Linked DNA regions of Cricetulus griseus. Each later gene encodes a partner of the first gene's protein in a complex. Links are inferred from orthologs where the notes say so. Each region holds a gene or a part of one and is shown on either strand. Other genes may lie near its edges. The genes, in order: Drc3, Iqcd and Ccdc153.

Region 1 (3,694 bases):
TCCCTCCTACAGCCTGGCTGAGTTGCAGCTCAAATTAGAAGTCGTGCAGCATGGGACATTTGCTGGGAAGTTGCCCAGCCTCAGAGCCATTGGTACCATTGAGTAGGGACGGGGATGGAAGAAAGAAGTGACATTCCACAAAGACTCTGGGAGAAAGGTGCCCTGAGAGCAGATGCGGCGAGATGCCTGGAGAAGACTGCTCGCAGTGACATCTCCCAATACGCAAGGGTAGGCAGTCCAGCATGGGCACTGCTTCTAGGGAGAGACTTGGAAAGGTTGGGCCTTGATGGGTAGGGATGCAGGGTGCCTCTCAGAATCCAAGTTGCACCTCAGGGGAGCCTCCTGGCAGGGTGAGGTAGCACCAGCGTCAGGCAAAGGCCTCGTGACAAGGATGCCCGGTCCACCTTTGAGATGACACCACTTATTGGCAGAGGCCCAACCCGCACGTGAAGTGGTATCTGTGCCGGGAGGAGGCCCCGGACCTCACCAGCCCGGCCAGCCGCTCTGTGGCTCACTCGACGCCTGCCCCACGCGCGGCCTTACCAAGACACTGCCCTACAGGGGTGCTGAACGGATTCCCCAGCAGGAACTCCATCTCTGCAGGCCTCGTTCCGGCCCGGATGCCTGTATGCCGCGGGTCTCCACTGCCCGCGCCGCGCTCGCCCTGACTGACACTTGCCCCCGCCCCACCCTCGGGAACGCCGAGCGCCTGCCTGACCTCGCCCTCTGGGTGCATCCCTATTGGGCAGCGTCTACTCAGCCAGCCTCCGATTGGACGGCACGCCACTCTCAGTGAAGTCCCACCCACCCCGCAGCGTCCGATTGGGCACCAAGCAAGCTAAGTCATTGGGGTCCCCGTCAGCCTAGTGGCACAACCCCCCTGGACCCGCCTCCAAACGAGCGGCCCTTCATTTTGATTCATTACCCTGTTAGTCAGTCTAGAGAATCCTTACTATGATTGGATAAAAGGCGTGTCAATTATCCGAGTAAAGAAAGAGTAACTAGAAGTTGCGGTGCATTGACGGTGCTGATTGGTGAGAGGTTTGTTTTCTTCAAGGCTGGTTGGTGTTAGAAGCGTTTCGCCGCCCAGAAATGCGGTCACGTGACACATCAACTTTCACCCAGGATATTTATTGCTGGACTTCCCCTTAGCGACCGAGTGGCGGTGCTTGGTTACCTAGCAACCAAGCGACGCGTCCACTTGAAGGAGGGTCCTTAGGAAGGTAAGAAGCATGAGGTTAAACTCCAGAAAGACTCCAAGAGCAGAGGTTGATTCAAATCTGTCTTGAAACTCTTCTGTAAGGACTCCCAACCTGACCCTTTCTCATTTGTAAAATGAGCGCACACGTCATTTTACACTTGTTCTGAGATTACCAGGCCTTTGGAGAAGAAAATTGAGTATAGATCCCAAAGCCCGCAAAAGCTAGTAGGAACAGGATCCATCTGCCAGTTTCCTGGACTGATTAGTTTCATAGAAAGAGAGGTACCCTTTCCTCTTGATCTGCAATAAGTTACTTCATTTGGTGCTGTATGAAGCGCTTGGGAAGGGAATACAGATACTAGGGTTCCGTATCAGTCTCTATCAGTAATTCACTGTACGACCTCCCAGCCCCACCCCCCACCCCAGGCTGGGAAGTAAGAGCACTAAGGCACCCTTTTTAATAGCTCATAGAGCTGACATGTAACACTTAGTTACATAGCAAATACAGTGGCAAATACAGTGTTTCAGGTCCAGTTGACCCAGGTTGTTGTTTCTCAGGAAAGCCTGGATTTTTTCCGCAGTGGAGAGGCTACCTGGTTGATTTGTAAGTAAAGCTTTCCACTTCTTCTCCACATCCTACCTCTGGTCTTCACCAAGGACACCATCAGGCAAGTCAACCAGCACCCACTTGTATAAATTATTGATATAATCCCCACAGGGGAGGATTCCTTGGGCCTTGGCCTGAGAAGAACAGTTGGAAACATGAGCTGTGATAATGGTTGTTCCTAGTATGCTGTTACAATAGAGTCATGATTAGAAAATTGAGTTCTACTATAGACAAGAGGTAAATCTTTGGTGAATCTACATATTGGTCAATCTAGAAAAGCTTGATGTTACAAAGATCCCTACTCTGTGTTGTTGATGTTTTACTCCTTGGCTCTTTTACTCTTTGCTCTTTTGGGGGGGCACCACCCAGCTCCCAAATAAATCACACACGGAGGCTTATTTTTACTTATAAATACCCAGCCCTTAGCTTGGCTTGTTTCTTGCCAGCTTTTCTTAAATTAGTGGGACTACCTTTTGCCTCTGGACCTTTTTCTTTTCTTGCTTCTGTATATCTTACTTTTACTCTTACTCCATGGCTGGCTGGCTGGCTGGGTGACCAGCCCCTGACATCCTCCTCTCCTTGTTCTTTCTTGCTCCTTATCCCTCTTCTCAGATTTTACCTCCTATTTATTCTCTCTGCCTGCCAGCCCCTCCTATCCTTTCTCTTGCCTTGATACTGGCCATTCAGCTCTTTATTTCACCATCAGGTTTAGACAGGCAAAGAATCACAGATTCACAGAGTTAAACAAATGCAACATAAACCAAAGTAACACACCTTAAAATAATATTCTGCAACTATGTGCTTTCATAGTTCCACACATCCACTAACTTGTCATTATTTGTAAGTAAATATTGGGTGATTTTTTAATCCATGTCAGAAACAGAAGACCTCTCTGAGTTATTCATAGCTGTTGCTGTTACCCCCAGAAATCAGGCCACATCCCTTCAGTATCCTTCCTCAAGGTTGGTTATAGATGGACTGTGATCTTGTAACTCTCACAATGTTCTCTGTCTCCCCTCTTAAGCTTCGAGCAAGCTCAGCTCCTGATACCTGGGCCAAGACAATCTTGAATTGCAACTTTACTCTCTTGCCTAGGCCTTCCACCATGCCATGGGTCATATAGACTAGGTCAGGCCAGATCACATGGTATGGAACTAAAAAAGAAAATACCACCACCACCACCACCCCCCAAAAAATGTATGAGTCAGAAACTTCCTTTGTTCTCTGAATCTGAGGGAGCTAATGGAACTGAAAGGTTTGTCTTTTCCTTCAGGGATCCTCATGGCTGCCTAGACTATGATGTCATCTCCTCCAATGCTCTCCCACTTCAGGGCTCCTCATGGATGTTTGTGGCCATGAACCTTCAACTCTCCTAGCAAAGTTCTTCTGAAGGGAAATTTATTTCCGTTTCTTTTTCTATTAAACTCCCCCCACCCCACTTTCTAACCCTACTGGACCAATCAATCACTTTATTTGGCCACAACCTTCCAAACTATATTGTCTCAAACTGGGAATGATTAGTCCTACATATAAACTAAGCACCTAGAGATGTCCCAGACCCTCCCCCCATACTCCTTCCTCCCTTCCTTCTTTGTTTGCTTGCTTTTCTTTTTCTTTTCTTTTTTTTTTTTTGAGACAGGGTCTGTGTGTGTGTGTGTGTGTGTGTGTGTGTGTGTGTAGAAGTCTGGAACACACTATGTAGACCAGGCTGACCTCAAACTCATAGAGATCTGCCTGCACCTGCCTCCCAAGTACTGAGATTAAAGGCAAGCGCCACCATTTCTCGTTAGACTCACTCCTTTTGTAATTCTTGGCCCAGCAATATAATTGTTCAGTTGCAGGCTCTGGCTGGCCCCTGCCTTCTGGAAGCCCCATTCCCTCCCTCC
Region 2 (2,371 bases), on another chromosome or scaffold:
AAGTGCTCTGCCTCAGTGATACTCGTAGATGCTGGTGGAAAAAAGGGGGTGGGGGAGAGACAGAGACAGAGAGAGAGACAGACAGAGACAGAGACAGAGAGAGACACAGAGAGGGGGAGGCTGGTGAACTGCAGCAAGAGGGGCCAGAGACAGAAGTGGGAGAGGACCCTGGGGTCACCCAAGACAGAGCTTGCTGCTTTGGGCCTCTGTGAAGCTGCCTCACCGGAGGCAGCTCTCCTTCCCCGAGGCCACACTGGGTCCTGGTACAGTGGCATCACATCCTCGGGGGCCAACTCTCACTATGATAAAACACTTGAGAAAGGGAAGAAAGTTTTGTATGAGCTCAGAGTCCTGGAGTCCTCAGAGTCCTCAGAGTCCAATCCATGGTCACTTGACCCCTCTGCCTTGAGCCTGAGGTGGGAATGTCTCAGAGAGGGCAGCAGAAATGTTCACTCTGAATAAACAAGGAGGGAGGAGAAAAGGGTTGAACAGAGGGGAGGAGGGAGTGGATGAGAGAGACACAGATCAAAGAGAAGATACCTTTCAAGGGTCCACCCCCCAGTGAACTACTTCCTCCCGGAAGGCTTCCTCCTCCCTGTTCAGCACTGAATCCATCAACTGGTTAACCCACTGACAAGACTGGCGCTTTCATGATTCAGTTGCCACTCAACAGCGCCACCTAGCTGGGGGGACCAGGCCTCCAGCCATGTGTCTGTGAGGGGGCTTTCATACTTAATCCCAGAAACTCTCCCTGGTATTTGGAGTATTTGGAATTGTCTGGAGAACCAGAAGCTTTAAAGGGAATCTCCTAAAGGTGCAGAGAAGCTAGACTTCAAAGCTACGGTCAGCGGCTGGGGGACCACCTCAGTTAGTAGGATGCTTGCTATGCAAACACTAGGACCTGAGTTTGCATCCCCAGCACCCATGTAAGAAGCTGAAAACTGCAGTGTGCAGTTGTAATCACAGTGTCGGGAGGCAGATCCTGGGAGTTTGCCAGCCCAGTGATACCTGCAAGCTCTAGGTTCAGTGAAAGATTCTGCCTCAAAAAGTAAGGTGGAAAGATTGAGGAGGAAGCCTAACGTTGTATACACACACACACACACACACACACACACACACACACACACACAGGAGGAAGCCTAACGTTGTATACACACACACACACACACACACACACACACACACACACACACACACACCTAGGCTTGCACATCTCTCAGCCCTTGTTCCTCCCTTCATTCCTGAGATCTGTTCAGTTGGGTCCTTCCTGGAGTGAGCCCAGGTGCAGACAGACAGGCTCTATCTGCATACTACCTGTCTGGGGCGCATGGAGAGCACGGAGGCCATCCTTGTGCCCTCCAGCCCTGCCTCTCTTCTAGGAAGAATACGAAGATCTGGAGAGCATCCACAAGGAAGAGAAGCTGCAGCTGGAGGAGCTAAAGGAGAGGCATGCGGTGCTGGTGGAGGAGTTTTCCCAGATCCGTGCTGAGAGCGAGATCAACTCCAAGAAGCGGGTGGAGGCGGAGCGCGAGATGGTGCGCATGGTGCGGGCGGCCACGCTCATCCAGGCGGTGTGGAAGGGCTACCTGGTGCGCTCCATGCTCAGATCCAAGAAGAAGAAGCGGGGCAAAGGCAAGGGGAAGGGCAAAGAGGAGAAGGGTAAGGAGAAGAAAGGCAAGGGCAAGGGCAAAGGCAAGAAGAAGTAACTGCTGCCTGGCCCTGCTCCTGCCCAGCCTCAACCACGCCCTGCCCAGTCTGAATGGTACTCCCACCCTGCCCCAGCCCTTCCATCCTGACTTTAATGATGGCCAAAATTAAAACAAAACAAAACATTTAAACCATACTCAAGGGCTCACCCTTCAACAGACGTGTCTACCCCAGGATGAGGCTGTGTTGCTCATGGGCGCAGCATCCTGAGGAGGGTACAAGCTTTGGGACCCCCATCCTCCCACATCTTCATTGAGAAATGAGGCCCTGGTCCCAACCCAAGAGATACTGTGGTTACCATGGAGAGACATCATCACTGGGCAGCCCTGGCCTGCCCTGGGACTGCCCACCCACCCACAGCTCTGCCCCTTTGCTATGAACCTTCTGGAGGGCAGCAGCGTTTTTGGTTTGGTGTTTAGATTGCATGATTTTTTGAAAAGTATTAGTTGCTAGAATCTCATAAATTAAGAACCATCCATAGAATCCTAAAGCCCTTATTGTGAAGATCCCATCACCCTGATATCCCAGTATCCCGGCCCTGTGTCTTCTTCCATGGTGCAGCAGCATCCCACCCTGCAACTTTATTTTGAGACATAGTATTCCTCTGTAGCCCCAGCTGGTGATCCACCTGCCTCTTGATTTCTAAATGCTGAATTTACAGGCA
Region 3 (3,754 bases), on another chromosome or scaffold:
CATGTTCTGGCCACTATAAGACAATGGCTTCCCCAAGTTGCAGGTTAGCTCCATGGTAGACTACTTACCTATCATGAATGAAGTTGTGATTCTATTCCCAGCTGGGGGAAGGGGTGGGAGATAGCTTCTTTCATTGATCTTCACTGCCTAGCCCTTCCTCACAATCTTGCAAATAGATTAATGGCTATCTTGGTTTAGCCCTGCACACAGTTCAAACTTTCCAGTTCCCCAAGAACCCAGAAATGCCCTATGTTCCATACATTGGGTGGCTAGTTTATTGTCAACTTGACATAAGCTAGAGCCATTAGAGAAGAGGTAGCCTCAACTGAGAAAATGCTTCCATAAGATCAGGCTGTAGGCAAGATTTTAGGGCATTTTCTTAATTAGTGACTAATGGGGAGGGCCTACCCACTGTGGATGGTGCCACCACTGAGCTGGTGGTCCTGCGTTCTATAAGAAAGCAGGCTGAGCTGGGCATTGGTGGCGCACGCCTTAATCCCAGCACTCGGGAGGCAGAGGCAGGCGGATCTCTGTGAGTCCGAGGCCAGCCTGGTCTCCAGAGCGAGTGTCAGGATAGGCTCCAAAGCTACACAGAGAAACCCTGTCTCGAAAAACCGAAAAACAAAACAAAATAAAACAACAACAACAAAAAGGGAAGCAGGCTGAGCAAGCCATGTGAAGCAAGGCAGTAAGCAGCAACCCTTCATGACCTCTGTATCAGCTCCTGCCTCCAGGATCCTGCCCTACTCGGATTCCTATCCTGACTTTCTTCAATAATAAACAGTGATTTGGAAGCTTAAGCCAAATAAACCCTTTCCTCCCCAAGTTGATTTGGTCATGGTGTTTCATCACAGCAACGATGACCCTAACTAGGACTTCTATCTCTGCCATCTCCTGAGGCTTCAAACTTCTTACCCAAGTGGTCCTGAAGCAGCTCCTTCTCCAGCAGGACCATCCTATGCTTGGCCTCAGCCTCTGCATCTGTTCTGGCAAGACAATAGTCTCAGGTTATCCTTCTCTCGGCCTCACCCCAGTGCTGCTCTGCACCTGCACTTCTTCCTTCGTGATGGAGGAAGATAGCTGGATGAGGGAGGCCCAATGGCAAATCTGACAAATTTACGGCTGAGTGGCAGAGTCTTCACCCACCATGTGCACGGTGGGTGCTCAAAATAAGGGTGAAAAATATGATGAGGGCAAAGAACTAGATGGGGCTCCAGGGGGAATTTGGGAAGGAGGCATTCTCCACTTCCTCAGCCCCATGGAATCTGGACGCAAGGATCTGCAGAGGAGGGCCAGGAAGCTTCACCCTAGCCAAGTGTGGTAGCAACGCCTGTAATCCTGTCACTATGAAGACTGGGGCAGCCTGGGTCCCATAGTGACCCTGTGTCAAAAGAACAAAAGACAAAACCAAAACAAACCCACTCCATTTGTTGCCCAGAGGGCTGGATTCCCTCCGAGGACCTTTGTGTCACAGACACGCCCTGTGACTCACCAGGACTTGATTTTTTTTTCTTCTTCTGTGCCCCAGTTTTTCTCCCCTTTCCTTTGGTTTTAGGTGGCATCCTTGCTGCCCTGGGGGAGGGAAGACCTTCTGTGTAGGTCTGCATACAGAAATGCTCTCCTGACTCCTAGAGGTAGGGGTCTTGGGGCAGTCAGAATTCTAGTCTTCCAGTGTATCTTACACTTTCTAGAAGCTTTGGTTCTTGGTCTCCTGGGAACCCCAGGCAAGGCTGGGAGGTAGAGCAATTCTATGGGCAGCAGACAGCCCTTTTAGAGAAGATAAATCTCTGGACCTGGTCCCTTCTGTCTCCCCAACATGCTTATTCTTCCCCTTCCTACCTGGAGGACCTTCTCTTGCTTGAGTGCTGTCTCCCTGGGGAATAACACTCCTTGGGAAAGATAGAGTCCCAAGCAGATTGAGCCTAGGGAGGAAGGAGCCTGGGTCCTGGGAGCCAATCCAGGCTGAAAAACTTCCCCAAGAGGCAGGACCAAGAACTGGGATGTTGGGTTTCTGGAGACTGCCTGCTGCCCAGGCAACCGGGAAACACTGTGTTCATAGGCAGGTAGAATGGGCTAAATTGACTCACACAAAGGTCCTGTGTAGGTAGATTCCCCTCCTACCCGCAAAGAAAAGGTCTTGGAGCTGAATAGCTATTATTCATGTCTACACAGGCACTGCCTATCATCTGGAGACTTTGCAGTCTAGAAATCTAGAAGCATCCAGTGTGAGAGGCTAGTGCTTTACAGATGGAGAAGAAAGGCAGGGAAAGTAGCCATTGCAGGTACTTTATATCCCGAGGTCTCATGAACACAGTGACATGATTTGCTTTAGAACTTGAGGTCTACTTCAGAAATGCTATCTGTGGCTTGTGCAGGAAACACGTGCTGGCACAGGTAGTTGAGAGTTTTCCACTTAAGAGAAATGAGAACAGAGAAGAGCTGTGGACTTGGGGATGCTGACCCAGAAAGGAGGCCACAAATTAGGCAGAGTTGCGAACTGAGCTACTTAATTTTGCTCAGCTTGGATTTCTTGGTGTATAAGTTTTGTAGTTCCCTCCTGGAGTCCAGTTGTAGAGAGGGAGGAGGGATGAGCAAAGGGGTCAAGACCATGCTGGGGAAACTCACAGAAACAGCTGACCTGAGCAAGTGGGAACACACGGACCCCAGTCTGACATCTGGGGAACCAGCATAGGACCCAACCAGGCCCCCTGAAGATAGGTGTCAGTTGGGAGGCCAGGGCAGTCTATGGGGCCTCTGGCAGTGGAACCGGTATTTATCCTAGTGCACAGACTTTGGGAGCCCATTCCCTATGGAGGGATACTCTCTCAGCCTAGATACATGGGGGAGGGCCTAGGCCTTGCCCCAAATGATGTGACAGACTTTGATGATCCCCCTGGGAAGGCTTTACCCTCCCTGGGGAGTGGACGGCAGTGGGAATGGGATGGGGGTGGGTGGGCATGGGAAGACAGGACCGAGATTGCTATGTAAAATAAGGATATATATATATATATATATTATATATATATATATATAATATATATATATATACTCAGTGGTGTGTTTCTAGGACTTCTTTCTCTCCCGCTCAACAATTGTCTCACTCTCCCTATTTCTCTGTGAGGTTACTCTGCAGACAGGGTGTTTAGAAGCCCCCAAGCTCTCTGCAGCATAGAGTTGGTTAGTGCTCCCTCTAGTGGACTTGCTTTGACCAGAGTCTCCTAAATTTTGCAGTTTAGTATTTCTTGCACAATATGGGGGAGATTCTCTTTGGGGGATGCCTTCTAGCATCTTGCATATGATTTAAAAAATTGATTGTGGGTAGAGAGTGTGATGGGGTAGCTTGCTATTGCCCCCTCCATCTGGGAGGGCTCCATCCTGGAACCGGGCCATTACTGGGCATCACAATGGCATCATACATAGAATGGAACAGTAAGCCTTCCTTCTTCCCTGTGGATTATGGGATCTACAGACTCTTTTTGGGCACTTCTGTCTATTCCAGAATTTTGGTCAACTGCATATTATCAGAAGCAAATCTGCAGAAACAGGTATAAGACGTGGGAGGAAGATCTCTCACCTGTGAAGAAGAAGCAGAAGGTCAATGAGTGTTTATTTAACCCCATGGCACTTTAGAGATCTTAGAAAAGATTTTTAATTTTAATTTTTCATTTCGCTATATGTGTGTGGGTTTGTGCATGTGAGTGCAGTACCCAAAGAGGCTGGAAGAGAGCATTGGAGCACCTAGAGTTGGCCTTAC

The links.
Region 2: Drc3 (region 1) and Iqcd share a complex: the UniProt entries of both Homo sapiens proteins name them as parts of the nexin-dynein regulatory complex. The link is inferred for Cricetulus griseus from reciprocal best matches to the Homo sapiens genes DRC3 and DRC10.
Region 3: Drc3 (region 1) and Ccdc153 share a complex: the UniProt entries of both Homo sapiens proteins name them as parts of the nexin-dynein regulatory complex. The link is inferred for Cricetulus griseus from reciprocal best matches to the Homo sapiens genes DRC3 and DRC12.

The regions. Positions count from the first base shown.
Region 1 is NC_048600.1:74,482,449-74,486,142, forward strand, and holds the start of Drc3 (dynein regulatory complex subunit 3), read left to right. Parts: upstream 1-889; 5' UTR 890-1,223; intron 1,224-3,694. Other genes in the region: Tom1l2 (TOM1-like protein 2), read right to left, coding at 544-595. UniProt on the Homo sapiens protein: Component of the nexin-dynein regulatory complex (N-DRC) a key regulator of ciliary/flagellar motility which maintains the alignment and integrity of the distal axoneme and regulates microtubule sliding in motile axonemes.
Region 2 is NC_048597.1:100,417,258-100,419,628, forward strand, and holds the end of Iqcd (dynein regulatory complex protein 10), read left to right. Parts: intron 1-1,379; coding exon 1,380-1,706; 3' UTR 1,707-1,843; downstream 1,844-2,371. UniProt on the Homo sapiens protein: Component of the nexin-dynein regulatory complex (N-DRC), a key regulator of ciliary/flagellar motility which maintains the alignment and integrity of the distal axoneme and regulates microtubule sliding in motile axonemes.
Region 3 is NC_048597.1:155,926,741-155,930,494, reverse strand, and holds the start of Ccdc153 (coiled-coil domain-containing protein 153), read right to left. Parts: upstream 2,592-3,754; 5' UTR 1,840-2,591; intron 1,573-1,839; 5' UTR 1,563-1,572; coding exon 1,493-1,562; intron 1,467-1,492; exon of another isoform or gene 1,428-1,466; coding exon of another isoform or gene 1,423-1,427; intron 987-1,422; coding exon of another isoform or gene 982-986; coding exon 916-981; intron 1-915. UniProt on the Homo sapiens protein: Component of the nexin-dynein regulatory complex (N-DRC), a key regulator of ciliary/flagellar motility which maintains the alignment and integrity of the distal axoneme and regulates microtubule sliding in motile axonemes.